Linked DNA regions of Arabidopsis thaliana. The protein of the gene in region 1 interacts with the protein of each later gene in a pairwise test. Each region holds a gene or a part of one and is shown on either strand. Other genes may lie near its edges.

The links.
Region 2: the proteins of MOS1 (region 1) and MAD2 interact in a two-hybrid assay, tested with the Arabidopsis thaliana proteins (one study listed by BioGRID).

The regions. Positions count from the first base shown.
Region 1 is NC_003075.7:12,725,603-12,743,919, forward strand, and holds MOS1 (modifier of snc1), read left to right. Parts: upstream 1-7,075; 5' UTR 7,076-7,200; exon of another isoform or gene 7,201-7,264; intron 7,265-7,782; 5' UTR 7,783-7,822; coding exon 7,823-7,851; intron 7,852-8,349; coding exon 8,350-8,433; intron 8,434-8,516; coding exon 8,517-8,561; intron 8,562-8,654; coding exon 8,655-9,024; intron 9,025-9,562; coding exon 9,563-9,665; intron 9,666-10,068; coding exon 10,069-10,185; intron 10,186-10,409; coding exon 10,410-11,487; intron 11,488-11,568; coding exon 11,569-11,797; intron 11,798-11,906; coding exon 11,907-14,135; 3' UTR 14,136-14,449; downstream 14,450-18,317. Other genes in the region: TAR2 (tryptophan aminotransferase related 2), read right to left, coding at 2,338-2,534, 2,618-2,910, 2,994-3,274, 3,414-3,717, 4,845-5,092; NBR1 (ubiquitin-associated (UBA)/TS-N domain-containing protein / octicosapeptide/Phox/Bemp1 (PB1) domain-containing protein), read left to right, coding at 15,589-15,621, 15,980-16,869, 16,959-17,082, 17,186-17,443, 17,621-17,770, 17,863-18,317. UniProt on the Arabidopsis thaliana protein: Involved in the regulation of the chromatin structure and DNA methylation at the SNC1 locus. Regulates the expression of SNC1 at chromatin level.
Region 2 is NC_003074.8:9,495,215-9,509,849, reverse strand, and holds MAD2 (DNA-binding HORMA family protein), read right to left. Parts: upstream 6,795-14,635; 5' UTR 6,619-6,794; coding exon 6,543-6,618; coding exon of another isoform or gene 6,539-6,542; exon of another isoform or gene 6,455-6,538; coding exon 6,439-6,454; exon of another isoform or gene 6,338-6,438; coding exon 6,207-6,337; intron 6,125-6,206; coding exon 6,004-6,124; intron 5,910-6,003; coding exon 5,806-5,909; intron 5,711-5,805; coding exon 5,589-5,710; intron 5,508-5,588; coding exon 5,448-5,507; 3' UTR 5,180-5,447; downstream 1-5,179. Other genes in the region: AT3G26000 (Ribonuclease inhibitor), read left to right, coding at 1,308-2,189, 2,329-2,808; AT3G25990 (Homeodomain-like superfamily protein), read left to right, coding at 3,147-3,669, 3,951-3,989, 4,269-4,397, 4,500-4,724, 4,802-5,004; AT3G25970 (Pentatricopeptide repeat (PPR) superfamily protein), read left to right, coding at 7,629-9,734; AT3G25960 (Pyruvate kinase family protein), read right to left, coding at 9,918-11,411; AT3G25950 (TRAM, LAG1 and CLN8 (TLC) lipid-sensing domain containing protein), read right to left, coding at 12,739-13,494; AT3G25940 (TFIIB zinc-binding protein), read right to left, coding at 13,908-13,982, 14,072-14,128, 14,214-14,282, 14,496-14,536, 14,629-14,635. UniProt on the Arabidopsis thaliana protein: Required for the execution of the mitotic checkpoint which monitors the process of kinetochore-spindle attachment and delays the onset of anaphase when this process is not complete.

The DNA.
Region 1 (18,317 bases):
TAGAGAGACCAATAATTCATGAGAGTTAAGAGTATAAATTATGGAGGAAAAAATTATTTAATTTAATCCGAAAGAAAAGATAAAACAGTGAAGATAAGAAAGAGATAGATGATGAGAGTGTGGTCAACAAACCCTGCCGCTTAATAAAAGGGAGTCTCAACTTTTTACGTTTTTTTTTGTTTGTTTTAGAATAATATTCATATATAGATAGTTTCATCCAAAAAGAACACCCATAAGCCATAACCTTTTTAGAGTTTGATGAAAAGTACAGTAAAAAAAGTATGTTCCATTGGAGTATATGATTTACAATAATTAAATGGTGGTTTGAGAGTGATTAATATTAAAAGTGCGTTTAGGGTTTTGTTCAAGGTACTTCTGAGTTCTGACTTTACTGTAAAAAAAAAGATCAAAAGTGGGACTGTGGTGAAAGAAAAAGTGTCTTTGGGAACTTACGGATCACAGCAAATGGCAAGAGCATTGGACGTAGAGATAACGTGTCATGGGTATAAATCCGGCCTTAATTTTGGTTTCTTGTTTGTGTTCATTATCAAACAAATTAGTTTCTTAAATCGGAAATCGGCTCTTTGACAATTGACAGTATAAATATATTATTAATCCGTACTCACAGAATTCTGAACGCAGAAATACCATTCTCGGAACCAATAGTTGTTCACCGTCGGACCGGTAAGTCCACGACTCATATAGTAATTCAGTCCGGCTATACTTAGAAAAGCCTTTTCGATTTCAAAATTTATTACTTAGAAATATGCTGAGCCTAACATGAACCGTTCTAACAGTTCGTGTGACTTGAAATGTAACTAGATTTTTTTATTCGGTATAATTTACTATCTACTGCTCTATATGTATGTTGTACAGTTGTAGTGTTATATGTAGGAATATTCCTGTGAGCCAAAAATCTGTGGACCACCCGGTCTAGACCTGTTTTTTGGTTTGAAAGAAATCATGGTGCAAGTTGCAACAAATTCATTTAAGATCTGAAGTACTATCATTTATCCTTAAAATGGAATTCAAACACGTTTTATGTGAGATATATTTACAACTTATCATTAATTCCAACTCTTAATCATGTTTTCTCTCTTTTTGTGTCTCTATATCTAGTTAGTACAAAACTAGAAAAAAATGTATACAAGTTGAAGTTGTTATGCTTCTTGCTTATGGTGAAGGTTTTGAAACTTATATCTTGGTTATAAACCCTTTTATCTTTTTGTGTGAAGAAATTGTGTCGCTGATGTTTTATGAGCTATGCATCAAACAAAGTGAAAACAACAAACATGGTGTTTTGAGTAAGGATATGAATAGGTTTGGAAACAAATATAACATGCAATTAAGATTCAAGAATGGGTATAATTGGAATTCAAACTCAGATTCTGATCAAGTTGGCCTCAAAATAATTACTAATCTCAAGAAAAAGACTAATTTGTGAATAGGGAAAAAGACAAGTAGAGTTATGTAGACGATCAAGTTGATAGAGAAGGGAGCTAGTAGATTTGTGGAAAAAGACAAAAGACGAACGGCCGTTTGACGATGGAATAGTTCCACAAACAAATATGATGTGGCGTAGTCAGGAGAAAGTTGATGATGAATTTTGCAGATACAATCACGTGAATGGTTTTTGTGTGGTTGTGCACATCCACCATTGTCCTCATCCATATGTATATTGTGGATACATATTAGTTTCTAAAAGCTTTATTTTAATGTTTTAATTTATTTTTTCACATACAAACCATGAAAGTTAAACTTTTAGAGTATGATGAATGAGTGACAAGAGATTATATTTTGAAAACTTTCACAATTTGGTATTTTTGAGAGTTTAGTTGGTGTTTTGGAATTTTTTTTTTTTTTTTTTATGTTCAACTTTTTTAAAACATTTTTGTTATGAAATATAAATGATTTTGGATGATTTCATTCTTCTGAATTATACAAAGAAAGAAAGTTGATGCGGCTAAAAAACGGTGCTGTGAATAAAGCTGACACAAATGTAAAATGGAAGGTAGCGACAATGATCCTTCCGTAGCAAAAATGTTGATATGACTCTGAAGGATTACCTAAGGCTGGAATTTAATACTGAAAAAGCTATGAGATGTTGGATCTGATCCTTCGAGATTACAAAGTTCCAGACCAAAATGCTGACAACGCTTGAACAAACTCTCGGTTGTGTCGTAGTGAATGAATGTTTGCTCATTCATATCATCAGAGATGGTTTGATGAATAGGTCTTTGATTGATCCTTCACATTATTCAAATTTCCAATAATATTTATGGAGCAAAACACTTGTTGCAAGTTATGACAATCGATCATAATCACATGCATATGCACTTACAAAGTTGAATTAAAGGAAGATGTAATCCTGTGAAGGAAAATATTAAAGTTAGTATCTCTATCCAACATGCTTATCCTCACATTACTTAGCTCATCTCCGAAGTACTTTCCACTTTTAGTTAGAATCTTCTTCTCCTCTCTAAGAAACTTCTCACAATCCACTATCCCTTCTTCACACTTAAACCATGCAAATGCTGCACAAAACACACCAAACCAAATGAAAAACAAAAGAAGTGGTTCTACAATCATTTCTACTTTTGTTTTTCTTTATACGTACCTGGTTGTGGCTCAAAGACCCTGCCAAAGAAATTGCAACGTTGAGAGACGAAATCAGGAACACTGAAACGTTTAGTATCCTTTGCTGCTTGTTTCAATAGTTTCCACCTCTCATACATAGCATCATAACTATGGTCAAAGAAAGATTTGCCCGTTACATTCCCACAACTGTCTGACACAACCTTAAGAACCTTGGCTACTCTAAGCTGTGAGTCCTTTGAAACCCCAATCGTGTTGAGTTCAATGTACTCTATCATTTTCCTAGCCGTCTCTCTGTCTTTCACCAAAGCCCATCTGCAAATTAAATGAACAAGAATGTAACGTTTAAGAGACTTGTTCTCTGTTTTGCTCCCACAAAAGCAAAAGATTGTACTTACCCAATCCGTATCCCTGCATGGCCAGTGCTCTTTGAAGCAGTGAAGAGCATAACATCGTGATCAGCTGGTGATGTTATCGGTGTATACTGTGGCCAATAGTAAGCCAAATCATGGATCAATATACCTTCAGTACTGTTCACTACTGATTCTCTCAAGAACCCATCAGGGTTGTTTGGAGATGTAACAAGTTCAATGTATGGACCATCTTCTTTGTACGTCTTTGCATCTCCACCCCATCGATATAAACCTGATTTGAGGCAGTCTGTAATCAACGGGTATGTCTGCAACCAAACCGGTTATACATGTTAGATTGACACATATATGTGCTAAAATAACTATAAAAAAAAACTAGTATCCAGCAAAATGGCGTGTCTAACAAGACATACAGATAGTTTTGAGATGGCTATAAATATGACTCACACTATAATAGGGTGTGGCTGACACGACATTAATGGGACCGGAGTCATCATGTGGGGAGAGAGCATAGAGAGCAGCCTGATACAATTGTGTTGAGCCAGTGCCAACAACAATGAAGCGGTCTTGCGTTACAGCATTCCCAACAACCTTATGCACCCTCACAATCTCTTTGGCAAGCTCTGGCTCAAGAAACCAACAGAGGTTGTTTTCATCTGAAAAATAGCTAAGAGATTGCCATCCAGGTATCACCATTGTTGTCACCTCTCCATTTTCCTGCCAATATCTCTCATACACCGTTGGATCACCACTGCATAGAGATATACACATCAAGATTAGCATATATATACATTCTACCGTGTGACAGGAGTTAATCTTTGAGTCAACGAGAGCTGAGCATAGAGGTAAAGAATTAGTGGGTCCTTTTATTTAATGGAGAACATAAAACATCACCTTCTTATTTCTGCAACAGTGAAAAACATGGTCAAGTACTAGATCACCAGACTAGTCCTTTAGATTCCCTCAAAGGACATGAAATATTTATGTATTCAGAATCATGTCACCACAATGTGGGCTCTCTTTACTATTCCCTATTTAAAAGTTTTTACTTGACAATGGAATTGGAAAGAATCAAAAGAGTTTTATATTCTGATGTACCAAGTGTCTCCTCAACCTAAATTTTTCAAACTTGAAACCCATTGGCTATCACTACACTAGATTAATTGCGAGCATCCAAAAAGAAACATCACTCACTACCATCCTTTCCTCTAACATACCAAATCCTTATTATAAAAAAAAAAGTCACTCTCTTCTTTACTTTCATTAACAAGAAGAATGGCCCATTTCCAATTTAAGTTTTAATACTTAACAGTTGACATTTATGACAAATATATCTAAATTCCCTAAAAAGAAAACAAATGGACCACCATGATCAATTTGCAAAGTTTTTTTGTGTGTTTGATGAGTCATAAGACTCATAACAAAGTAAATAACAGAACCAAATATTCAAACTAGCGGCGCACGTTAAGGAAAACAAGCATACGCAGAACCAAGACAGAACTATAGAAAACTTGTTAGAAAATATAGGCAAGTCAATGAAAGATCATTAGGAAAATAGAATCAAAACCTTTAGATTGACTATTTTATCCCTCTTTCAATGTTTGCATTTAAAATCGAATGGTGATTATTGCATAAAAGCTTGGAGCTTCACTTGCGTGCTTAAAGGATAATCTTAGATTCCTTGCTATATAATCAAGTATAGGATAAGGGAGAAATTTCTCTAAAGATTCTAGAGGATACGCCATTAATACACATTTATTATTCTGAACACCAAGAAAAAATAAACAAGCAATCAAAAATTCCACTATAGTGACAAGAACAGAACTTTCTTTAGAAAATTGTAATCTAGCACATGGAAGAGAGTAAGTAGAAACTTACAATTTGAGATTGATAATTCTATCATCGTCTTCTTCAATCTTGCTATAGTTGCAAGATGCTGAAGACAACGAAGAAGATTCTGAAGCCGTGGTGGATACCACGGGCCATATGCTAACATACGCTGTTCTGTCCCATGAATCTCCTCGTTCTCTATCACCCTTCAAAATCTTTAGAATCAAGCTGAAGTTGATGGCCAACGAGAGGACCAACATATTCCTCCAAGAAAGAAACCTCGGAATCTGTCCCATTTTCTCTCAAAACTAAAACACAAAACCAAGAAACAAGAATGCAAAATGCTTAAAGAAGAAGAGCAGAGTGGGATAGCTGGATAAAGACCTCTTTTAAAAAAAACAAAGGAAACAAACAAGTGGTGTCCAACGAGACTGATCCTTTTTTTGGCTGATATTCGAAGTTATGATTTTTGTAAGAGATTAAAATAACCCTTGAAGAATCTCAAGAGATAAAGGTATGTATAACAATGTGTTTATATTGGATTACGAACCTAACTCATGTACTTAACTCATAAATATTACCAATCACGATTTTAAGAAATTGAATTTTTAATCCTAGTAGACAAATTCTAAACTGAGACTACCTATCAAAATACCTGTAGAATTGCAGGCAGAGGATCAAAAGGTCACAGAACAAATTGGCCACAGTGAAAGGATCGCTAGAAGGCTTTTTATATGTAAACTGAAAAAGAAGAATGTGTAATTAGGTCGAAGCTCTTTGTTTGTTTCTCTCCACGATAAAAGATATTTCCCATTGGGAAAAAGTTATTGTATTTTGGCTTTGGCGTGAAGAGTTTCAGCTTTTCGGTTTGTCAATGGCAGACCTTGGAAACGACAGTACATGAACCGAGTGAGACACTGAATTTATTCAGGATCTCTGTTTACTAGTACAAGACTGGTGAATGCTTTATGTGTAACAATATTTTCTAGATTTACGTCACTTCTCTGTTTTCACATCTAATTAGATTAGCTTAAGGCTCATTATATTGACTATGTAATATTTTGCCCTATATATGTTTAGTGTAATTTACACATTTGGACAAAACGATTTAGGGTGAAATTGTTGTAATAACATATTTTGGGGTGTTGATTGTGAAAGTAACAAAGAGAAGAAAATAATCTCTGCAAGGGTAACATTAAAATAGATAAATGATCCATGGACCAAAATCTACATATTGCCACGGCCCAAATTGTTCAAGAGTTTAGCAAAGATCATATGGGCTGGATCCAAGAGGTTTATTATATTTGGTCATTGTTCAAGTATATTTGTTTTTTTGTTTTCTTTTCATACATTACTGTTTATTGAATATGATTCTATCAAAGGTGAAGTTGTATAAAATGGGGTGGGATCATCATTTGTAAGCATTCAAGTGTCTCGTTCTCTAACTTTCTTAAGTTTGTTGGCTTTCTCTCTAACTCTTAAGTATCAATTTGGAGAAAAGCACGAAAATTTAAAATATGCTAAGACTACTCGTAATAAATTAATAAAAATCAAACTATGCATTATCTAAAATCTTCTGTATATAAAATTTACACAAAATTTTAAAATTTGAAAAAAAATAAGCTAGCGTTGAGCTCAAATCCGCTCAAGATCATCCTCTAGCACCATGTACACAGTGCATGTACGAACACTTCCAACCCTCGATTACAAAACACCGGATTAATATATGATCTTTCCTTAGAATGAGTGTACTCCACAAAGAAACATGAGAGGTTTGGAAGATAAACATAAGCATTACCCAAAAAACCTTATTCATTTGATCATGCCTGCCATCGTCTTACTTCCCTAAACATGTCCTTAAAATGAAGAAGTGAACCTACCACATAATTCAATTTCTCCCCCATTTTTAACATTCGTAAAATGTAAAAGAAAGGAAACTATTTTGTTAAGTATTGTTTTTATGGCTATCCTTTTTTTTTTTTTTTTTGTCAAACTATGGCTATCTTTTAAAATGGGTAGGTAAATATATAAATGATGTTAATGAATAATACTACTCTTTTAATTTATATATATATTTTTGTTTTTTGGAGATAGGTGATCCTTTATTCGCTCTATTTTATTTTAATCGGCATTCATTTTACAATTCACAGGAAAAAAAAAAAGAGAGAGAGGAAAAGCTGAGTAAAACCGTGCAGCCCTGAACTTCGACGCTTTCTCCTCTTTCAACCAATCCGTTGAACGTCGTCGTAATAAGCTTCATCTTCATCAATCATCATCACTTTCTTCTTTCTCCCACAGATCCTTCCTTTTCTCCTTCATCTTCCCCTTCTTCCTTTTCCCTCATCGCCCAGGAACACATCCGATCTGCACCCTCTTCGTTCGATTCTCACAATTAATATCTAGGGTTTGCGAGGACCCCCCCTCTCTATTCAAAAAAAGAGAGCAGATTTTCTCTATAATCCCCTTTGGTCAGTTTCTTCTCTACCTTTTTTTCCCCTTTGTATTCCAGAGGAATCGAGTGATGAGTTTATAGAATTATCGCATTTTGAAGTAATTTGGGTCCTTTTGTAGAGCTTGATTGACATTTCTGGAGACATTTGTATGTTTCAGAGCTCTTTTTTTGTTGCTGTTGTTGTTCTAGCAAGTTGATTGCGAAATTGTCAACATTCTGGGAATACGTCAATTGTTTTTTTAGTATTGCGGTCATTTAGTCTGGAACCTCTTTTGATTCCGCAGTTTGACGATCTTTCATACTTTTAGGTTTCTGTACCAATTTGATTGTCGAACATTGTCTTTCTGTTATGATGGTGAATTTTAGAAAGTATTTCAATTCATGTTGGAGAATTTGTATAGGCAGTCTGATTCTGCAACACATTTCACGGTAGCAGTGTTATAGCAATAGTTCTTCAGTGTCGGTCTTGTTTGATTCTTTGGGATTTGAGCTTCAAATTTCATTTGTGAATCTGATTCTGTATGTGACTTACAGGTTTCAAGTGGTGTAATTGGATCGTGTAGCTGCTTTTATAATGACCTCTAGCACGACAGGAGATCGAAGGTTTCTCTTCTTTCAACTTTATCTTTGTCATGAACTTTTCTATGTTTTTATACTGGATTATGGGTTATATATTGGCCTCTTTGCACGTTACTTGCATGATTTTTCTTTTGATTTGGCCTTTTCTTCATATGAATTACTTGTTTTCGTTGTGCTGTATATTCCAACTGTTGTTAAAATATAGAATCACTATATGTGCCTGGGGTATAGAAGGAAACTCAGGGTGTGGTTTTTCTTTCTTTGAAAGAGCTTGCTTGCATGATAGACATTCACCATGTATTTGTAATAATTTTATTCAACATTATTATTGATTTGCAACATGCCAACATCACCATTTAGATTAAAAGAAGGGAAAGTTGTAAAATGTGTGTAGAAAACATATGTAAAGAGCTGATCGTTTTTTTAATAAATTGTATAATCATTTATACTTTGCTCATTTACACTTAAAGAGCTTTGTATCCTCTGTGGTGATGATGAGAAATTACATGTGCTGGATATTAGCAGATGGGGTACTACAAGAAGAAGTGGCATGACTATATTGGGAAAGGTTGCTGTTCCAAAACCGATTAACTTACCAAGCCAAAGGTATTTGATGAGCGCATGATCACATTTAGACTTCATATATATGTATAATCTCGTTCCCTGAACACTTCTCTTCTGAATTTAAGGTTAGAGAACCAAGGCCTTGACCCAAATGTAGAAATTGTTCCAAAGTAAGTTTGTACCTGTTTGAGATGCTATTTCCCTCATTCTTTTTCGTCCTCAAATTTTAGATGGTTTAATTTTCTTCTGGACATCTATTTTAGGGGAACACTTAGTTGGGGCAGTAAATCATCACTGAATGCTTGGGGGACATCATCCTTGTCACCACGAACTGAAAGTGGCCCTGGTTCACCAAGCCACCTCAGTAATCGACCTTCTTCTGGTGGAAGTGTCACTCGACCTTCAACTGCCGATAGTAACAAAGCACATGACTCTTCTTCTTCTGTTGCATGGGATTCGAACTCGCGGCCTTCATCAGCATCTGGGGTGTTTCCATCTAATCAGCCATCAGTTGCACTACAGCGTCCACATAGTGCAGACACAAGACCAGGAAGTTCCCAGTTATCCCGATTTGCTGAACCCGTGTCAGAGACTTCTGCAACATGGGGTCAACATGTGGCGCCAGAGAAGTTGGTATGGTTCTTCCCTTTAAAGTCGTCTCTAATATTTATCGGGACTCTGCTAAGCATCTTTTTTTATCCTTACATCTGTGAAGCTCCATGTCACTCTTCTCTTACTTCACTTGTGCTTAGTTACAACAAACACACAGCAAGTTCTTATGTTTTTGGGACTGTGAATGGTAATTACTTTTTGGGATTAATGATTGATATTCAATCTAGATAGAACTTTAATAGCTGGATACATCATTCGTGTTTGCTATGGGAACAAGATTAGGATGCTAAATTTGTCAAATTATAGGGCACTTATTTCTCTTAGAGAAATGCTTTGTAGTGCGTAAGATAATCTGACAACTGAGTGGCACATGGTCTCCAATAAGTCTCGAGTTCTGGTTGGGCAAATAGAATTTGATGGAAGGGTTTTTGTATTATTATTTGGCAAACTTCAATCTTCAAGGTTTTTTTTGAAGAATAGTTGTGTACAATTTACCCACCTTTGCATTATCTACCATGAAATTTATCTTCATTCTTAGACTTCTCATTGTTTTCTACAGGGAGTTGCTCCATCAAAGAATGATGGGTTTTCTTTGACTTCTGGAGATTTTCCTTCCCTTGGTGCTGAAAAGGACACTTCTGAAAAGAGTACAAGGCCACAAGGTACCATCTATTAACAGTAAAAATTATTGTGTCATCCATGCATTACAGTACTTTGATTTAAGAATAGTTCTCTTTGCTCTTTTCAAAAAGTACGATCAGCATGTAAACTAGGAAAAAAAAATTGTTTCAACTTGTACACAATTCAATCTTATACTCGTCGTCCTTGCCTTCAAGGGAGTGACGTTAGCACAGACGGGTTCATTTTGAAAGTTGGTACTTCTAAATGTAATTCTGTTGAGAAGTTTATCTACACGGATATTCAGCAAAGTTAAAACTTTCGGGAATGACCTTTTTTTTTGGCTTGCTGTTGGTTGACCACTTTTTCGATCTTAGATGACCTCCTAATATGTGCCACTGAGAATTTTAGGATTACCTAGATAGAATGTGATGTGCTTATATGAAGGAGATACGTTAGACATGGCTCTTAGAAACTACAAATTTGCAGATGCTGGACCTCACGCTCGTCCTCCATCTTCGTCTGGAAGATCTGTGGAAGGGCAAGGTGTAGATTGCACAGAAGGTTCTTACTTTCAAACCTATTTTTCTATGTTTTGGGGATATACAACAGATGTTGGCATCTCATTTCGAGAGTTACTTATGTTTATAATCATCTCTTATGAGAGGGCCATGTTACCCTCACAGGTGTTCATGTGAATTCTTCTTACTGCTTTATTCCCCGTACATCTTTTTAGTGGATGTTCTCGCGGACACTATATTTGACCATATCTTGTCTTTTATTTGCAGAAGCTAATGACCGGATTGGGGATGCCAATTCCTGGAGAAGAGAGAATCAACCATACAGTGAAGATGCACCTAGACATTGTAGAGAGGAAGGGCAATTGGACTCACGTGGTTCACAATCTTATCCTAATGCTAATTTTCCTCCTCGGTATGATGCTTGGCGTGGTCCTCCAGTAAATAATCATCAAGGAGGTGGCTGGTACGGAGGGAACCACCCGTATGGTGCCCCAATGGGTCCTGGGGGTTTTCACATGGATCCTTTTCCATTTTATCCTACGCAAGTTCCACCTGCTCCTGGACATGGGGCTGGTCCTAGGGGTAATCACGCTAATAATGAAAGAATGTTCAGACCTCCAATGCTTGACTCTTATGTCCACCCAAGGATGCAGACTAGGCCTGGGTTTTATGTTGGTCCAGCGCCACACGAAGGCTACTATGGTCCTCCCATGGGGTATGGCAGTCCCAGCAACAGAGACCTACCTTTTGCAGGTAGGCCTACTGGTCCGCATGCTTATAACAATCATTCTGGTCAAGGTGGATATGATACGCCTGGAAGTTCAGTGTCTTTGGAACGGAACGAGTCATCACATTCTCAAGAAACACAAAGGCCATACAAGGTTCTCCTAAAGCACCAAGATGGGAGGTTTGGGGAAGATAATGCAAAGCGGGAAGAATTTCTTGGAAATAGGCTCCCGAATGCAGAGAAGATAGCTCAACAGATGCAAACTTCAAGAAACGAGAGGAGAGAAATCAGAAATGACGCAAGTGGTGAAGTACAACCAGTCAAAGCAGAACTTGCTGCCCCTGGAGATCCTAGTTTGATTCAGAAAATCGAGGGCTTAAATGCAAAAACTAGAACTAATGATGGTTGGCAAAATTCGTCATCTGTTGTTAATAGAGATGAGCAGGAAAGCCAACCACGTACACTCAATTCTGGGAACTCTGCAAATAAAGTTTCAGCCAGAAATCATCGAACTGGTCATGCAAGTGACAGTAAGAACTCATCACACTATAATCAAGGTGATTCTGCCACAAACAAGAATGCTGAACCCGCAGCTATGGGTGGAACTAGCATATTCAGGTCAGTTATCATTTTTCAATTGTGTTTCGGCCAGTTATGCCATCCTTTATGTCGGGAAAGTTTTGATGTTAGTACCTACAGGAGACCTACTCAACAGACTCAAGGCAGAGCAGATCCGCAGACCAAACGAATAGTGAACAGTGAAGGCAATGATGCTTGGCAGAAGACAACTGTTATGTCAGGCTCCTCCCATACAACTTTAGCTACAAACACAGAAAGCTTTCGCGAGGTTAATGTCGATGACTCTTTGGATACCGAGTCCATCAGGAGGCCTGGGTCGGGAATATCAGCAGACCCAAAGGATAACCAGGTATAAACTAGTTCATATGATTCTGGTTGTTATTTATACTTTTATGTATCTCTTGTTTGTAGTCATCCTTTTTTGGTTTGACTGAGTGTTTGCCATGTTCCCTTAAAAGCGTTCTACGATGAGAGAGTTAGCCAGGCAGCGTGCTCAACAGAGGCAGAAAGAGGAGGAAGAAAGAGCGAGAGATCAGCGGGCTAAGGCTCTTGCAAAACTAGAAGAGTTAAATAGACGTTCCCAAATATATGAGGAGGGTTCAGTTAAGAACATGGAAGCTGCATCTAATGCTTCTCCGGCTGACATGCCAACAGATCCTGGATCTCATTCATCTAATGCTACAAATTCCGTAGAACCTACTGGAGGATCAGGAAAAAACACAACGCAAAACACGAGGACTTCAACAGAATATGCAAATAATGTGGGCCCTTCCCAACAGGATAATCTTCCACGTGATGGCGGTGCCTCAAAACAGAAGCGCTTGGGTTATAAGCAGAAGCAAAATATTATATTTGAGAAAAAACCGACAGGGAGCTCTGTTGCTACTGCAGAGGTGTTTGATGTTGTCCCGTCTCCTGAGGTTGTTAATGAAGGTGTCTCAAGCAATAACTCAGACATGCCAGCGACGTCAACCGTTTCAGCTGAGTCAACTTTCCCGAAAAGAAAAAATAACAGGAATGGTAAGAAAAAACACAAGGCTGAGGAGACAGCAACTATGAATACTACAAGAGTTGCCGTTGGAAAAGAAACAAAATCGGGAGATGAGTCAATTGAGACTGCTAGGGCAAGGGCAGCTGAAATTGAGTTGGGGTCTGTTTCAGTTCCAAGCCTGGATATCAAAGTGTCTGGTGATTCGTCTGAACAAATCAGTTCCTTCACTAATGAAGAGTCTCAAAACAGAGCTAAAAACAACTGGAAATCTCAACATGTGCGTAGGACTCAAAGAAACTCACTGGTAAATAAGCCTGCAGAGAAATTTTCTGGCAACAATGCTGTTATTTGGGCTCCAGTACATCCACAGCAAAAAGCTGATGTTTCCACTGGTGGAGGGAGTCAGACTACTGTCCCTGAGTTTGGCACCTCTTCAAAAAGTCAGCATCAAGGACAGACTAGTTCTAAAAGCAAAAGAGTGGAAATTGAAAGATATGTACCGAAGCCTATAGTAAAGGAAATGGCTGAGCAAATCGTCAGTAAAAATCTAGTAACCTCTGCTCCAGATATGTCGGAGAATGTAAACCAGAAAGAAAATCGTGGAGGTGAGGGTACAGGAATTCTCCAACCTTCTGGTTCAACTGCAGGGAAATCTGGGTCTCCTTCAAAGTCAAGACATGGGAATGGTAGGCAGGGAAAGCATGGTAGAGAACATGCATCATGGCACCAGAGAGGTTCTGGAGCACCTACTAAAGCTTTGGAGGATGGACAATTTGTAACCTCAAATCAGCCCATCCGAGGAACAGTGAACTATCACTCTAGTAAGCAAACCGAACAAATTGCTGCCAAGGATCAAACCACATGTAATAAGGATGGATGGAACGATGGCTGGTATATGACTCCTGAAACGCATTACTCTGCTGCCGAAGAAATGGAATCCAGTGCTGTTGGAAAAGATCAAGGAATGAGCATGCACGGCAGGCAGCATGCTTCAAGAAGCAACAAGGATGGAGGAAGCAACTATGGTGACCCTAAAAAAGGCAATAAGAGGGATTTCAATAAAGCTCATACGCAGCACTCTGGCCATGGGTTTAGCCAACCAGATTTGCCTGCTGCTTCAAAAGAAGGTCGTGTCCCTGGAGATCATGTGTGGCATACAGCTAATAGGACAGGTAAGTATGGTGGTCGTGAAAGTACAAGGGACAAACCTTATGGATCTCAGGAAAAAAATGTTGTTGGATACGAGCATCAAGGGTTTACTACAGAACAAAAAACGACATCAGCTGATACACAAGCCCAGTTGCAAAACCGATCTACCAATAAGGAGGTCCAGGTTGAGCAAAATCCGAATAGTATGTTCCAAAAGAACACAGGGCAGGGTCGACGGTTTGGAAGAGGGCAGGAGTCACAAGGAGGTTGGGGTTTACCGGCGCAAGAGAATATGCACCATCACCATCAGAGGCCACCTTCAAACAGAGATAGACAGAAGCAAAATCTGCATTATGAATACAAACCTGTTGGGTCTCATACTTATGATGGAGAACGTAGTCGAGAACAATCGAAAGAGAGTTCTCAGACAGAAGGTCCAAGATACAGAGAGAAGGGACAGGGGCAGCAAAGGCAGGGTGGATACCAACAGCAAAGGGGTACTAGTGGGAGAAACGGTGGTCATGGATTCACTGGTGATAGAAACTAAGATTGGCCTCTTATTGTTATTTAGGTAGTAAGAGCTGCCATGCTGAGGATACTTGCATTTTGAGATATGGCGATTGAGGAAGCTAATTCGTAGGCACATAGCTTGGGAGATTGCTGAGAGGAGACCTATCCGAGGAGGTATTGGCAGATTAAAAAAAAAAAGTCTTTGTCTTGAGAGTTTATTATTATATGTTTCAGTCACTTGTTTGAATATGATTATAACTACTGTAGTAGCCTTTTGTATACACTAGATGAATACTCATGAGTATTTTTGTTTTTAAAGTTGCTTAAAAAAATATGATTATGTTTTTTGGTTGATTTTGATGTTCATTTTGATAAATTCCTATCTATTTAATATAATTTTTTTATTTTATGATTAGATTTATCTATAACTCGAAATATCAATTCTAGTATAATATATATATTTATATCTATTATTCTAATATTTTATTGTCATGATCACATATAAAAACAATATATGATATATTGATACAATGTATGCGTTTTGAAACTTGTCTAAATTAATTGTACAAACAATTATTTATTCCATATATTCTCTTGTCATCAACTACACAATCACATCATGATATGCTAGTAATTCAAGTCACACTTTAATTCTTTTCACTTGCATATAGCCATATAGAATCTCATATTTTTTTTTTTGTATGTCGAATGTCGAATGTCTCAAATGACTATTATATTATAAAATTGTATATCAATGTTACTAAGTTATTAGAACGCACCAAAATGTACAGAAAAAGTTCATATGATAAATTATATTCACAAAACGTAATAATAAGAAAATATCTAATTAAATTTACTAAATTTATATGAGGTTAGGTAGCAAACATAAGAGTTTTAAGAGTTTGGATTTTGGAATTGGTGGTGTTTGTTTCTCAAACTTCATAAATTAGAGTTTAAAATGTTTTTTTATTTTTTGTGGTCGGCATAAGAGTTGAAGTTTTAATAAAATAAAATAGTATCTGATCATTTTATTGGAGAAAACATAAAAGATGTAGTATTTTATAAGAACTCGAATTGGTCAATTTTCAAAATGTTAGTATGAAAAATAAAATATCTAGTTATATGTACTCGTATCTCTTGATATTTTTGGCTTTAACTTAGGGATGTTAGTTTGATTTGTCTTTCTGGATAAGCCAGTAGTAACCAAAAAAGTCAAAATCTTGTTGGCTAAGTCAGAAATTAATTAAATAAACAAAAGGGCCCATTAAATTAATTATTTTAATAAATATTCTGTGTAATGATATATAGTATAAAACGCGACCGTCTAAATTCTTGGTTGTTTACGAGAAAAGCGGATTACGGGTACGCTTCTTCTAAGATAAATCTCTCCCCGATTCTCTCTTTTTCTCGCTAGATACTCTTTTTCTTCAATTAGGGTTTCTTCTCGCTTGCCTTTTAATTCTCTCCAGCTGATCTGATCTCCGTTACCGATGGAGTCTACTGCTAACGCACTCGTCGTCAAGGTTAGAGATACAACCTTCCTTTCTTTATTTGCGAATCGTCAGTTTTCTCACAGTAATTGTCGGTGATTCTGGGTTTTCGTGGCGATCGTCTCGTTTCTGTTGATTTTGTTGCTTGTAATCGGTCCTTTCCTTTTGAATTTCGCTATGGATCGACTCTCTCTCTCTCTGTCTCTGTATTATAATCTTAAGTGTAATTCGAAAATTTTCCAGACATACTTAGCAGTATCTGCTTGAATCTTATACCCGAACAATGATTAAAACTATAAGTTATCGTAATTAGAATCGTAATCTATTTCTTCGACAATTTTTTTTCATTTTTTTCATTGAAGTGATACTAATTTTGTTTGTGATTATGTAGGTGAGCTATGGAGGTGTGCTTAGGCGTTTCAGGGTGCCTGTTAAAGCTAATGGACAGCTTGATCTTGAAATGGCTGGTCTTAAGGAAAAGATCGCTGCTCTCTTTAACCTCTCTGCGGATGCTGAATTGAGTCTGACTTACTCTGATGAGGATGGGGATGTGGTTGCCCTTGTTGATGACAACGATCTCTTTGATGTTACTAATCAGCGTCTTAAGTTCTTAAAGATCAATGTGAACGCTGGCGTGTCCACTAACTCTGCTGCTCCAGAGAGTAGTGGGAGTTCCACACCTGCGGGTATGCCTAACCCGGTTTCCAAAATCCAGAAGGGTATAAATGATGTTCTGATGGCTGTACCTAACCCGATGCGTGATACCATATCAAAGGTGTACATGGACCTTGCATCCAAGGCCTCAACTTCTAGTCCTGTAGTTGGTGAGATGCTTGATTGCATTTCCAAGCTAGGGCAGCTCTCAATTCCTCAGGAAAGTAGTCCTTGCTCACCTGTTACCAAGCCTGGTTCTTCAGGTGCTTCCCTGAGCAGGGATGTTCCTTCCGCTGGTGGAAAGAAGGATATCTCTGAGAGGACCCAGACCGGAAGGAAACCTGTTAATCTGAATGAACCCACTGGCGCTCATTCAAAGACTTCTGGTCATGTACCAAACTCGTCTGGACTGGGTGCTAATTTCAACGAGTGTCCCTTTAGTGGCAGTACCATGAATTACTCCTGTCCAAATCCAGTTAACCTCAACAAGCATCCTCGTCGTGTTTGTCATTCCAAAAAGAGCACCAATGGTGATTACTGGACTTCATTGGGTGTATTCCATAAGGGCATCCGTTGTGACGGATGTGGAGTTCTTCCAATTACTGGGCCTAGATTTAAGTCGAAAGTGTAAGGATGCCTTCTACTTACTACTTTAGAAACTATAAACATGCTAGAACTTATTGTGCTTATATGTTTCGCTTGTGAATATTGTGCAGTAAAGAAGACTATGATCTGTGCACCATCTGCTATTCGGTGATGGGTAACGAGGGGGATTACACAAGAATGGATAAGCCTGTATCCGTTCAACATCTGCATCCTTTTAGAGGACCGTTTACCCAAGTATTGCTCTTCTTCTAAGTTTATAATTACTTTTCTTCTTGTTTATTCTATGTGTCTTCTCTGATAGCTATGAGGAATTCTTACCCTTTTTTTTTTGGTATAGTTTCCTAATCCTTGGTTGAGCCACCCTGTGCCACGAGCAACCAATGGAGGTGCACCTCTCAGGTGTACTCGCCCTAAACTAGACAGTCGGTTTGTCCTTGATGTGAATGTAATTGATGGAACCGTTGTTGCTCCATCCGCCCCATTTACTAAGATTTGGAAAATGAGGAACAGTGGTTCGCTGGTGTGGCCACAGGGCACACAGATTGTCTGGATCGGTGGGGACAGGTTCTGCAACTCCTTGTCAGTTGATTTACAGGTTAGAAACAATTTCCTTAGTTTTCACTCTTTTAGCTCGATTCTTACCACTAACAGAGCAATTATGTTGTTTGAATTTACACTCGATGGCTTGAGTTAGGTTGTTTTCTTCACGAAGTGACTATAGCTGCTTGATTATATAATACTAACTGTTTTTTTCTCTCTTTACACATGGCAGATTCCAAAGGAGGGTGTGCCTATCTATAGTGAACTTGACGTCAAAGTTGATTTTGTTGCACCAGAGTTACCTGGTCGATACATTTCTTATTGGAGGATGGCTACCTCTGACGGTGCTAAGTTTGGGCAACGTGTTTGGGTGTTGATACATGTACTTACTAGATTTGTGCAGCTTCTGTCCTTTAATTCTTTGTCTCTTTCTATCATATGTGTTTGATACATTTTTTCTTTTTGCATGGTTAGGTTGATGCATCTCTGAAGAATTCTGTTGTGAATGAGTTTCATGGACTGAACCTTAATGCCTCCCCCTCCCTTGATGAGAATTTTCCAAGCGAATTTCTAGGGATTATGAATTATGAGTCAGCTCAACCTGGCAGCTCCAGTGTCAATCCTGGGACCGTGAAAGGTACTGATCTAGAGGGCGAAGTTGGTGAAACACAGGCCGTGGAAAAAGAAAACCTTTTGGTTGGTGAAGCTCATCCTGCTATCCCTCACGGTCATTCTCCTTCATCTTCATCTTCTTCATTTAACATGGTCGACTTCCCAAGCATGCCTGCTGTTGAGGTCTTGTCTGGTGGTTCTTCATCTACTACAAAAGACGTGCCAGTTCCTCTTCAGGAGGATATAGAAAAGAATGACGTGGAGATAACCATGCTCAAGGAGCTCGAGGAAATGGGTTTCAAGGAGATAGATTTGAA
Region 2 (14,635 bases), on another chromosome or scaffold:
AACAAAAATAGAAAGAAAAAAAAAAGTAGTTTCAATAGACAAAATTAATTCTATTTAAAATCAACAAACTAAAAAGATACTAAACAAACATTTTACTAACAATAAAATATAATGTTTTTTACAATAATTAAAGTTTATTATACATATAAAACTGTCTATTGAAGATCTGAACGTTACAAAGAGAAATGCACAGTAAAATTAATATTTATGTAGAATTATTCATCGTAATCACATTTATCTTTTTATTTATTTTTATTTTGTTATTGTAATCACATTTATTTTTATATGCAGATAGATAAATATCATCGTAATATATTTAGCTCAAACACTTCTGGTATTAATCCATGTTAAAAGAAAAGAAAAAAAATCATATATTCCTGGTTTATCTTCATACTGAAAAATGACAAAAAAAAACAAAAAAAATGACACGTGTTTAAAGATTTTGACGATTTCACTCTAATCTTATCTTTCTTTTTTATTATTATTTAAGTTTGTTTAATTGATTTTGTCTCCAATAGTTTTTATTTTTCTCTCCCTCGTAAAATCTCAACCCCTAAAAATAAAATAAATTGAGATTTTTCGCACAATTTTCTCGTCGTTTCCATTATTTTCTCTCTTCTTGACTCGGTCGACGAAATTCACCAACCCGTTCTCTCTTTCTCTTTCTCTCTTCTTTGAATTCCCAAAGTGATTGAATCAAAAACTTCGTTTGATTACAATTCGATTTCCCCCACACAAAAAAAGAGATCTTGTTTTAATTTCGCGGCGAGGGTTCGGTTTGGCTTTCCCGTTGATCGCGTTGTTCTTCTTCTTCTTTGGTGATTCAATTTCTTCAATTCAATCAAATTCGTATCTTTCTTCTTCTTTGATAATGTTTAGGATTTAGGTTTCGTAATTTCTGAAAACCCTAGTTTAGTTTTTGTTCGAGAAAAAAGAAAAGGAAAACAAAAAAAAAAAGGAAAAATCAAATTTATTCAATTCATTCTTTTTGTGTTACCCAAATTCGGTTGTTAATACGTCTCAATTTCGAATTTCTTTTCTAGGGTTTTTTAGGGTTCCAAGGAAGCTCTCAAAATTTCTGGTGCCTAGTATTTTTTTGTTGCCATCTGAAATCAAGAGTTTCCTTTTTCTCTCCATAGATCTATTAATTCATCTTTCGATTATCCAAAAAAAAAAATAACTTTTTAGTTTATCTTCGGATCTGATCTATCTTCTTTAGGGGGTTTTGAGTTTTTCTAGGGATTGTGTACAAAAGAGGGATTTTTTTGGTTTTGTTAGGTTTAAAGTGTATATAGAGATTAATAGAAATGGCTTTAAATTTTTCACATAGACCTTTTTCTTCTCATCTATCTGAGGAACCAATGATGATAGCCAATGGGAATTGGTGTTCAAGTTTCGATAATGGAAGGAAGAATACTGGAGGAGATGCTTCTTCTGTTGATATACTTGATGTTTTGCCATCTGATCCGTTTGGTATGGATATCAACAATACTTTCACGGCTATTACTGGATGGCTTGAGGATTTGGAGGATGATTATAATAACCAATATGGAAGAAGAAGAAGAGATGACATTTGGATTGGTGATGGAAACCGTCAGCAGCTGTTTGCTGGATTGAGTTTCTTTTGGAACAATGCAATGCAGTTTCAGAGTAGTGGTTACAGTTATGGATCAGAGTCATTGTTTGGTGGGGCGTTTGATGGGTCTCTGTTTTCCACATGTAAATTCCCTGAAAGTAGTGGGGAAAATAATGGGTTTGGAGGGGCATTAGATGGTGATGGATCTTGTCATGGTGCTTTCATATCTGCTAGTAGTGTTGATGAGGTATTGAGCCATGAGAATGCGAGGAATGGTGAAGTTGTAGGAAGTAGTGATCGCTGCAATAATGGAGAAGAGGATGCGTATGTTCATCCAGCGATTGGTTTTTGTCTTTATCACTTGCGAGGGAAGGATCTTCTTTCAGTTAGTATGGTTTGCAAGTCTTTGCATACTACTGTTTGTGATGACACGTTACTTTGGAAGCATATCCACATTTGTCGACCGTTGAATGAGAAGATCACGGAAGAGGCTCTACTGCATTTAACTGAGAGGGCTCAGGGTACTATGCAGTGTTTGAGGATCGTAGATTGCTGTAGAATTACTGATGATTGTCTTAAGCGGGTGGTGGCGCGCAACCGACAAGTAGTCAAGGTGAGCTTCTTTCCTTAATTTACTTTAAAGCGTATTTGGATTACTAATAAGTAATATTGTAAGTTTTTATAGAAGTGCCTGGTAATTGAATTGATTTGTGGGATCCTATTAAAACCGAATGTTGTTTTGTGGTTGGCAGATTGGTGTGCCTGGATGCACAAGGATAACTATCGATGGTATTTTGAGCGTCTTGAGGGATCTGAAGTCTGCGGGAAAGCTTCAAGTGAAGCATTTACAACTTCGTGGCCTCTTTGGAGTGACTAAAGATCACTACGATGAACTGATTGACTTGTTGAACATTGACAATAAAGTCAAGCAGACTATTCAGAAGCCGCGTTTTTACCATAGAGGAGAAGCTTGTGTGTCCTGTGATGATGACCGGGCACTAGATATTGAGATGTGCCCAAAGTGTCAAAATTTTAAGCTTGTGTATGACTGTCCAGCAGAAGATTGTAAAGGGAAAAAGAAAGGTTCTGAGGAATGCCGTGCTTGTTCTCTTTGCATACAGAGGTGTTATCATTGTGGTCGGTGCATCATTGACACTGAATACGAAGAAATGTTTTGTTTAGAGCTTTTGTGTGCTGTTTGTTCGAAGCCGACCCCTAAGTTAACTCTCTAGGTATAAAATTCCATCTGAGCCTTTCTCTTCTCTATGATTGAATGACTCAGTCTCCACGGTTCAATGGAGATGATCTTCAACTATCTCTAGAACCTTTTTTTTTTTAAACAATAAAAATATGTTCCATTTCATATTTGTTGAACACTCTTATCTTTATTATTGGAGATCTATTAAAAGTTTGCATCTTTGGGTTGTTCTTGTTCTTCATCTAATAATCAAACAAGAGAGATCATTTATGTAAATTTAAGATAAGCTTTGACAAATAATTAAAGACTCACGCGCCTTTTATATTAATCTTTGACATCTTCTGCTATCTCTCCTTCTTCCTTGGAGAAAACATGTTTGTTTCCGATAACAACAATCCTTCACGGGACATAAACATGATGATCGGCGATGTTACATCAAACGGAGATCTACAGCCACACCAGATCATCCTCGGAGAAAGCAGTGGAGGAGAGGATCATGAGATCATCAAAGCACCAAAGAAACGAGCAGAGACATGGGCACAAGACGAGACTCGAACCTTAATCTCATTACGGAGAGAAATGGACAATCTTTTCAACACTTCCAAATCTAACAAACATCTCTGGGAACAGATTTCTAAGAAAATGAGAGAGAAAGGGTTTGATCGATCACCATCTATGTGTACGGACAAGTGGAGGAACATATTGAAAGAGTTTAAGAAAGCTAAGCAACATGAAGATAAAGCAACAAGTGGAGGATCAACGAAGATGTCTTATTACAATGAGATTGAAGATATTTTCAGAGAAAGAAAGAAGAAAGTGGCATTCTATAAGAGTCCTGCTACTACTACACCATCTTCTGCTAAAGTTGATTCCTTTATGCAATTTACAGATAAAGGTACAATCTTTAGCTTGGTTTTGGGGATTCTGATTGATTTGTTGCAGGTTTGGATAAAATTTCTTAATGGGTTTTGGTTTAGATTTGGATTGAGAAGATAAAGACTGATCTTTTTTGGTTTTAGTTTTGTTCCTCTTTTAGTGCTAAACCTGGTTAAAGAGGCTTTTGACCATTAATGGCTAATTATAAAGTTGTAGATTTGGTTTGTTAAACTAGATTGACTTTTTATAGTAAATTTGGGTTTTCTTCTAAAATTGATCTTTATCTTTATCTTCTTGTAGGTTTTGAAGATACTGGTATTTCATTTACATCTGTTGAAGGTATTGATCTCACATTTATTGAATCTTTGAGTGTATATATAAATGGTGGTGTTGAAATCTTTTTTAGTTGGGGAATTACTTTGAGAGAAATGGTTGTATCAGTCCTAACTTTGGGTAAACAATTGTGCAACAACTTATGATTCTCTTATAATTCAGTGAAATAAAAGTGAACTCATACCAAATTGTAGAATGTTAGTGATAATGTGAAGCCGATTTTGTTTGGTTTGTGGAAGTAGTGTTAGTCACTTTAGTCTTGATATGAGTTGTATCTGTATGCAGCTAATGGCAGGCCAACGCTAAATCTTGAAACGGAGCTTGATCATGATGGTCTTCCTCTCCCCATTGCTGCTGATCCCATCACAGCAAATGGAGTTCCTCCTTGGAATTGGAGAGACACCCCTGGAAATGGTAAGTAACCAGACAATCTAACTTAGAGAGAGCCTCTCCTTGTTTATTAAGCTTTTGAACTTTTATGGCAACTACTACTAATCGTTGTCATGTTTGAAGCAGGCGTTGATGGTCAGCCATTTGCTGGGAGGATCATAACGGTGAAATTTGGAGATTACACAAGACGAGTTGGGATTGATGGTACTGCTGAAGCAATTAAGGAAGCTATCAGATCCGCGTTTAGATTGAGAACAAGACGAGCTTTTTGGCTAGAAGATGAAGAACAGGTTATTCGCTCTCTTGACCGAGACATGCCTTTAGGGAACTATATACTCCGCATTGATGAAGGTAAATCCACTCTTTCTTCTATGCTATTCATCGAATACTCTCTGGTTAGAGGTTTCTCAATATCCATTTGAATTCAGGGATAGCCGTTAGAGTGTGCCACTATGATGAATCTGATCCGTTACCAGTCCATCAAGAGGAGAAGATATTCTACACCGAAGAAGATTACCGAGATTTCTTGGCTCGACGAGGATGGACATGTCTGAGAGAGTTTGACGCGTTTCAAAACATAGACAATATGGACGAGCTTCAATCCGGTCGCTTATACAGAGGAATGAGATGAGAAAACGGTTACTACAGAAGGCTAGAAGAAACCTTTTATTTTTCATCAGTCACTATAAATAGCTTTTTTTGATCCAAAATACTTTATTTTCATCAGTCACTGTACATATGCACCTCTTTTGACATGCCATTGTGAATCAGAGGAATTTGATTTGTTTATTGAGAAATCTCTTTTTGATCCAAGAGCCATAAAGTTTGATTGGTAAACAAAACGGTTCAGTACAAGAGACAGGGACAATGAAAAAGCTGATAACTTTTGAACAAAACACAACACAAGTACAGGATTCCAATTCTCATACAATTCAGAAAAAGAAAAAAAACAGAAGAGAAAACGATATAGGTGTGTGAATAAAGGATTCACGTGCCTTTAAGAACAATGAGAACTCCCAAAGAGATAAACGCAAGCTGAACAAAGAGCCTTGCATACGTGTGTCCCGACTTCTGTTACTCTTCTTCATCCCACTCGTCGTTCTTGTATGAGACAAGCGTGTCGACTTTGTGAATCTGCAAAGTATGAAACCACCAAAATACTTAGACATTTCAAAGTGTATAAATAAAGGTTTCAAAATTCTTCCTCCTCCTTACCTTGGTATCAAAACCGTGTAACTTAACCATCTGTGGATTAGCAATCAACTTCGGGTCGCTCTCGATCCAAGTGAATGGAACAGCCACATCAGTATCCGTATACGCCAATACATCAAACACACCTAATACAAACAACATGCACAATCAAAAACGAGAATCCAAATCAAACTAGTTCCGAAATGATGATCACTCAAAGTTCCTATGAATTGGTTCTTACATGTTTCATCAAGACAAGGCAAGTAAGTAACACTTGAAGCAACCTGTCTCATAATAGCTTGAATCTCCCTCATGATCTCCTTATCACTCTTCTCCCTCGACACACTAAAAAGTTCCATAAAGATAACATAATGAAACAAAGAATCAAAGAAAACAAACAAACTTGCGAAAGTATCAACACTAAAAACAAAAAACTGACCCTTTGTCAACAACTTCATTATCAGTCTCAATACGAAAATTCCACCTCTCCAAGACTTCACCAGTAGCTTTACTCATAATCACTAACACTACTCTCTGCAACTTCCCAGCTTCAAGCCATTCTTTAGACCAAAAACAAAATCAAGTCTCAGACTCTCTCACAAAAGGAATCATTGAATAAAAGTCTGACATTTGTAAAATTACCGGAGATCTGAGAAGTGAGATTAGACATGAAAGATTTGACGGATTCATCTTCAATAAGCAACATCGGAAGTCCATATTTCTTCACTTTCACAAAACTTTCCTCTGGATAAACTGCACGATTATACAATATACTGTACCCAGAAACCAATAACGAATCAATTTCACTGTAAAAAAATCACAGAATCGAAGATTTCCAGACACTGAAATTGAAAAGTTCCGATCCAATTCTCACCTGTTCGCAGCGTAACCTGGAGGAAGAAGAAGAAGGAAAAAAAAAACATCAAATCGAGAAGAAGATATCTGAAATTGAGTCTAAGAAAAAATGAAGATACGTACAGAAGAATTCGCTGACGATGGCAGCAGATCCGTGTAAAGTGATGATATCTTTAGCAGCCGCTGTTTTGGACGCCATGGAGTCTAAGGATCGGTGATTTTGAAAATTGAATTCGCAAGTGTTAACAGCGTCGCTTAGGGTTTTAATGATTTTGAAGGGAAAAAAAGATATTTGAGGGAAGGATTAAAAAGAAGGAAAGAAAGAAAAAGAAAAAAAAAGGAATAAGAGCGTAACGGCTAGTCTTCCTCGGAAATGCACTTGCAACGGCTAGTTTGGGTTATTATAGTTTAAGGTCGAATCCACTAATTTTTTTTAAAAAAACAATATAATATCATTACCAGAATTTTTAAAATATCAAATATAAAAAAACAACAAATTATTTTTAGCCAATAGCAACATCTCTACAAACCATTGTAATAATTATTATTTTTGGTTTGCAACACATTTTACATTTAAAAGAAATACACCAAATATTAAATATATAATAACTTTGTTTTAAAAATTTAATAGAAAAGTCCATAGTTTTCTGCCATACGGATTTAGACTCGCCATGTGGTTTTTAACTTTTAAGCCGTATGTCTCTTTGATAAACGAATGAAGCATCAATCAAAATTTTAAGAAGCCTTTTAAGTGTTGAAAGGTAAATTTTGTAGTTTCTATTGGTAAATCGACTCATCTATGACTTTTTTTTTTAAATAGATTTCAAATATACTTCATATATATGTATATATAAATTTATGTCGTGACACCCATGACCGAAATCTAGAAAAAAAAAAAAAAAAAACTAAGGTATTTTTTTCCAGTCTAACTGAAAAAATACAATTTTACAAATAACTCAAACTTCAAATGTGTTTTGATTTACTTAATTAAGCCATTATTAATCCACATAAGGTTATTAACACAAATTTATCAAACTAACTAGCCACTTGATAATCCATTACTAGGTAAATTCAGGTATATATATAAGTTAATAATAAACTGATTATTTGACCAAAAAAAAGCATAATTAAAATATATTTTTATACATAAATAAAATAAAATAAACTCTCTTTGATGTTGACATCATATGAACACAGAGAAACAGATGAATGAAAGCGTTGTTAGCCTCTCTACTAGAGAGCTCTTTAAACTCTTTCCAAAAGCTTTCACTCACTCACTGTTACGCTATTAAATGTGGTTCCATCTCAGATATATACGTATCCAATCGAATTTTGGATTCTTATATAAAATTTGGCTTCTTGGGTTATGCCAATATGTTGTTCGATGAAATGCCTAAGAGAGATTCCGTGTCTTGGAACACAATGATTTCTGGGTACACAAGCTGTGGGAAATTGGAGGATGCATGGTGTTTATTTACATGTATGAAGAGATCTGGATCTGATGTTGATGGGTATAGTTTTAGTAGGTTGTTGAAAGGGATTGCTTCTGTGAAAAGGTTCGATCTTGGAGAGCAAGTGCATGGTTTGGTTATAAAGGGAGGTTATGAGTGTAATGTGTATGTTGGAAGTTCGCTTGTTGATATGTATGCGAAATGTGAAAGAGTTGAAGATGCTTTTGAGGCTTTTAAGGAGATTTCAGAGCCTAACTCTGTTTCATGGAATGCTTTGATTGCTGGATTTGTGCAAGTGCGAGATATCAAGACTGCTTTTTGGTTGTTGGGTTTGATGGAGATGAAAGCTGCTGTGACTATGGATGCTGGCACTTTCGCTCCACTTCTTACTTTGCTTGATGATCCTATGTTTTGTAACTTGTTAAAGCAAGTTCATGCTAAGGTTTTGAAACTCGGGCTTCAACACGAGATCACTATATGCAATGCGATGATCAGCTCTTATGCAGATTGTGGGTCAGTATCAGATGCAAAGAGAGTTTTTGATGGCTTGGGTGGCTCAAAAGACTTGATTTCGTGGAATTCGATGATTGCAGGTTTCTCTAAACATGAGCTAAAGGAATCTGCTTTTGAACTGTTTATTCAAATGCAAAGACATTGGGTCGAAACCGACATTTATACTTACACCGGCTTGTTAAGCGCTTGCTCTGGCGAAGAACATCAAATTTTTGGGAAGTCTTTGCATGGTATGGTAATAAAGAAGGGATTGGAACAAGTAACTTCTGCAACAAATGCATTGATCTCTATGTATATTCAGTTTCCTACAGGCACCATGGAAGATGCTCTGTCTCTATTTGAATCCTTAAAATCTAAGGATCTTATCTCTTGGAATTCGATCATTACAGGGTTCGCCCAGAAGGGTCTCAGCGAGGATGCGGTAAAGTTCTTTAGCTACTTAAGATCCTCAGAGATAAAAGTCGACGATTACGCCTTCTCTGCACTTCTCAGATCATGCTCGGACCTAGCAACACTCCAATTAGGTCAGCAGATCCACGCGCTCGCCACTAAATCAGGCTTCGTATCAAACGAGTTTGTAATCAGTTCTCTGATCGTGATGTACTCAAAATGTGGCATAATCGAGAGTGCACGAAAATGCTTCCAACAGATTTCCTCCAAACACAGCACAGTAGCTTGGAACGCAATGATTCTTGGATACGCTCAACATGGTTTAGGCCAAGTCTCTCTTGATCTCTTCTCCCAAATGTGTAACCAAAACGTGAAGCTAGACCATGTAACCTTCACAGCAATCCTTACAGCTTGTAGCCACACCGGTTTAATACAAGAGGGACTCGAGTTGCTTAATTTAATGGAACCGGTTTACAAAATCCAACCTCGAATGGAACATTACGCAGCTGCAGTTGATCTCTTAGGCAGAGCAGGGCTCGTGAACAAAGCGAAAGAGTTAATCGAATCAATGCCGTTGAATCCTGATCCAATGGTATTGAAAACTTTCCTTGGAGTTTGCAGGGCTTGTGGAGAGATCGAAATGGCTACTCAAGTGGCTAACCATTTGCTAGAGATTGAACCAGAAGATCATTTTACGTATGTTTCGTTGTCTCATATGTATAGTGATCTCAAGAAATGGGAAGAGAAAGCAAGTGTGAAGAAGATGATGAAGGAGAGAGGTGTAAAGAAAGTTCCAGGTTGGAGCTGGATTGAGATTAGAAATCAAGTTAAGGCCTTTAATGCTGAAGATCGATCAAATCCTCTTTGTCAAGATATATATATGATGATTAAAGACTTGACTCAGGAAATGCAGTGGCTTGATTCTGATAATGGGGTTGATGCAGATTCACTTCATGCTTAAGAGAAAATTTAGTTTAGGCCAAAACAAAACTTGTGATATAACTTTATTTAAAATTATTAGTTTGTTTGGGTGTTATTCAAAATTTCAACAACTACGACAAATAATGAAACTGAAAATTATGTTTAAAACTTTATTATCATGTGACCAAAAACAATGGTTAAACAAAAAAAGTTAAGAATTGGATTACTCGACGCTCACTATCCTGACAATAGATGAACCATCAATCTTGTGCAAAGCCACAATGGAATCTCCAGTCTTACAAATTCCCTTCGTCTTGGCAAATCCTATAGCTAATCTAATCATCTCCTCCGTTGAATCTCTAGCTGAACATCCCACCACCGGAATAATCCCACGGTAAATCAAACCACGTCTCGCCACATGAGCTACCGAGTCCGAGCATTCAGCAATCTCTGGCATAATCACCGACAGAATCGGAACGCTTGGCCTGTATTTAGCCACAAGCTCCGCCGTGTAACCGCCTCTAGTGAGAACAACGATCGCGGACGCGAAAACACTCCGCGCAGTCGAAACAGCTGAAGCAGCTAAGCTCTCGATTGGAGATAACGGTAACGAAACCATTCCTAGGGTTTTCTTGTGGAGAATGTCGTAATCTATGAAATCCTCTGCTTCTTTGCAGATCCTTGACATTGTTAACACGGCAGTCTCAGGGTGAGCTCCAGCAGCAGTTTCTCCGCTAAGCATAACGCAATCTGTCCCGTCAAGAACCGCGTTTGCTACGTCGGTAGCTTCAGCTCTAGTCGGGCGAGGAGAGACTGTCATGGATTCAAGCATCTGTGTGGCTGTGACCACTGGTTTCCCATGAGCATTAGCCTTGTTGATCATTGTTTTCTGAGCAAGAAACATCTTTTCGATTGGTATCTCCATCCCAAGATCTCCTCTAGCCACCATGAAAGCATCAGAATTCTCCAGGATCTTATCGAAATTCATTACTCCTTCTTGATTCTCCACCTTTGACATAAGCATGATGCTCTTTGAGTGCTCTCCAAGTAATTTCCTTACTTGGATTAGGTCAGATCCTTTACGAACAAAAGAGAGAGCGATAATGTCGATTTTGTTCGGAACTCCCCATTGCATAATATCTTCTTTATCTTTCTCAGTGAGTGTTGGGAGATCAACTACAATTCCAGGAAGATTAACGTTTTTTCTTTCTCCAAGAAGAGCAGAGTTCTCGCATCGGCAACGAACAAGACCGAGATACTTGTCACAGGACAAGACATTTAGAGAGATTGTTCCGTCTGAACAAAGGATCACGTCACCAGGTTTGAGATCCTCTGCAAGTTTCTTGTAGCTCATGGAGATAGTGTTGGAATCTCCTTGTATCTTGTAATCAATTGAGATGGTGATCTCTTGACCTTGCTTTAGCTGTATCGGTTTGCCTTCTTTGAGAAACCCGGTTCGTATCACAGGACTCTTTGTGTCGAGCATGACGGCGCAGAGGATACCAGTGTTGTCCATGGCGGTTCTGAGATTATCGAGAGTTTCTTGATGGTAAGAGTGAGAACCATGGGAGAAATTGAACCGGGCTACGTTCATACCAGCCTTGAGAAGCTTCTCAATCATCTCCACCGATCTTGAAGCTGGTCCAAGAGTACAAACTATCTTCGTCTTTGAACGAAGAGCTCCATTGGTTGCTTGTCCACCAAGTAACATCTCCATTGTGGAAACTTTTGAAAGATCGCTAAGAAAAATTTAAGAGAACGAACTTTGAAAGACAGAGGAAAGTAAGAGTTTTTGCTTGATGAAAATTATGATGAGCAAAGCCATGTATATATAGAAGGAGCGATATGAGAATTTCCATTTCACGTTGAATTATCGAATTTCCATTTTTGTATGGTTTTGGCAATAGTTTTTTTTCTATTTCGAATTTAACAAATATTTTTGAAGGAAAATGTTAAAAGTTAGCTGAAAAATTTATAAATTTTCAAATTTAAGGTTTTTACTTTTTACATAAACACGTTTTATTAGGTCTGAGGAAACTGTGTACAACTTATGTTTTCTTCAAAACTGTCTAGTGATTATTTGGGCCATATCTATTGCAAGTCAGTGAAATATCATTTGAGCCAAAATTGTGGAAAGGCCCAATAAAATCCAAAATATTAAATCTCATGAAGATTGCGGTTTGCGTAGTTTTTTTTCTATTTTTGCGGCCAAAACCCCTTACTAAAAATAAAATGACAAGGTTTACCAAACCAATGGAGATAATTACATCCACTTGTGGACAAAATTTTCAACTTAAATGTTTTGTTTTTTGCAAATAATAGGTCAGATTTGAGTATTAAGAGCCACATCTCATTTAAAAATGTCATTCAAATGTGTCTTGGCGTCTTGGCTAATTTAAATTTTGTGTAATCAATCTATTTGAATTTCTTTATTTTCCTGACGAATAAGTTTCTCACAAATGGGAGAGTCCATTCGTGAAAAATAAACATGGAACCAGCAAGAGACCTGGTATGAAAAACAAATATATATTTTGTGAACAGAAAAAAAAAACATTATCTAAAAACTCTCATGAGGGGACATGACACATTCCTCTTTTAATTTGTTTTCTTGGTCAACTCCAATTTAAGTAAACGTTTTAATATAATTTACCAAATATGTGAGTCATCCAAGCTATCCCATGAGGGCCAAATGTGGCGTGAACATTTCTAAAACTGTTTACTTATACCATGAGTTAGGCAACTTTTTAGCCAAATCATATATTAAAGGATGTTGACATCATTATATAAAAATTCAAAACAAAATTCAAGGGCTGAAAAGAAAAGGTTTAAGCATTCAAGTATTGACAAGTATAATTTTACATAAGATTAACATATATATAATTTTACATAAGATTAATTTTACAAACAATTAAGAAATATTTACAATGCAAATGACAATAAGATTTAGATTCACATAAAAGTACAATTCTGTTAATATTGCATTACACAAATACAAATCAAATAAATTTATATGAAATTTGCTAAGAATCTATCAATTAAACAATTCACTTGTATTTCTTGCTAGAGTTATTCTCCCTAAACCAATCAAGCCAATTACGTAAAACCCACAAAATACTAACCAAAATAGCAAACCCAATCACAACAAGCCACGATAACCAAGCCCACCGTGGAACCACTCCATCCGCCGCACCGCTACCGTAAAACGTCGCCATATCATACAAAACCACCGGACCAGCCAATCCACGAACCACAGTATAAAAAAGATAAAACGGCGGAGACAAAAGCTCTCTCACTCTCCTCGCTAACGCGACGTCGTTTTTTCTATACCCGGTGATCGTCCAGACGTTCTGACACGCGCTCGTCGCCTCCGCGAGTATCAAGAGGAGGAGAAGCCCGTGAGCTCCGTGACCGACGGCGAATCTACACGTGGCGAAAACGTATAGGGTCGCAATGTGGTGGAGGATGAAGATGAAGTCGTTAGGGAGGAAGATTAAGTAATGGAGAAGATCAACGGTGAAATAAGCCATGCTGAAGTCGAGTACGTTTGATTCCACGGCGGTATTGGGAGAAGCGAATGAGTGTACGTCGGCGCGTGGAGTTGTGAGCAGCGCGTGGGAAGCCATTATAACGGCGGGAGTGCCGTGGAAGAGTGACATTAAGCAGCTAGCGCCTAAATGTGATGATTGTTTCCATGTACGGAAAACTAGGAAATAGCCGATGGTGTATACGGCGAGGAAGAGGAGGAGAAACGACGGGAAAGTAGCCAGAAAAGACGAAGGATTAAACGACGCCGTTTCCATGGTTCTTGTTTTGAAACTGTTTGAGAGGTTTAAATGTTTAAGTTGGGTTTTTAAACTGAGAGGTGGGAATGATTTGGTGTGGTGATAATGTACAGTGCATCTACGATAGTCATCGTAGTCAACGGATTTGTAGCCGTTGGATTAAGGAGTAAGATTAGTTTTGACGTGCAAGTGTATTAGTGAGCGTGCTTACAAGTTTTGCTCTGGTGCTTATTTGGATATTCTTTTCGTATTAAAGTGATAATATTTGTCAATAAGTAAGATTAAAGAACACTACATGACATTGCAAAATTGAGTTGGTTTACATATACATAAGGTTCTAATGATGGCACTGAATCATTGAATATGCAACATTAATGTAAGAAACAAAACTGGTATGCTCTGTGAATATCTGAATCACAATGATGGAAACATCAACCTTCTGTGAATCTATGAGCACAATTGGGGCAAGTGTAATATGTTGTCTGTCCTTCATCAGCTGATCTCGTCTGCAAATCCGATGAAAACATTTACTTTGAAATTGAAACAAGAAGACAAGAACTTGAAACCACATAATCAAAAAGCTTGAGGACTATACCTGTCTGGTTGTGTATACAAGCTCAGGATGCTGGCATTTCTCGCATGCCTTTTTGATCTGCAAAGAGAAGTATCATCAAAAATTACAAGTCATGGATTCAGAAAAAAACACGTACATAAAAATCTGTTTCGTATAAACAAACCTTTGGTAGCTCAGCTTCTGCCTGCGTTTTTTCACCAAACAATGATATTCCTAGTTCTCTTCTGATATCCTACCAAAAGCAAAGATCATGATGAAATATTCTTGCAAGAATAACAAAACAGTCATCCATTTTTCAGGTCTGAAAGTAATCACATAGCACAGAACTGGTTTTCTACTGTGTGTGTGTATTCATAAGCCTAATAACAATTGACTAACAACACAAATCAAGAGCAGAGAGATTTTTGCTACTCCATGAAACCGAAACAAAATGTATGATGCATACCTCAGCAGAAACTGTGTAAGCTATTTCCTTGTCGATGATATCTGAACGATAAAAGCACAGCAATAAGATTAAACCAACCAAGAAACAAAAACTTTGTTTTGATTTGATGATATCAAGAAAGATTCATCAAAACCTTTTGC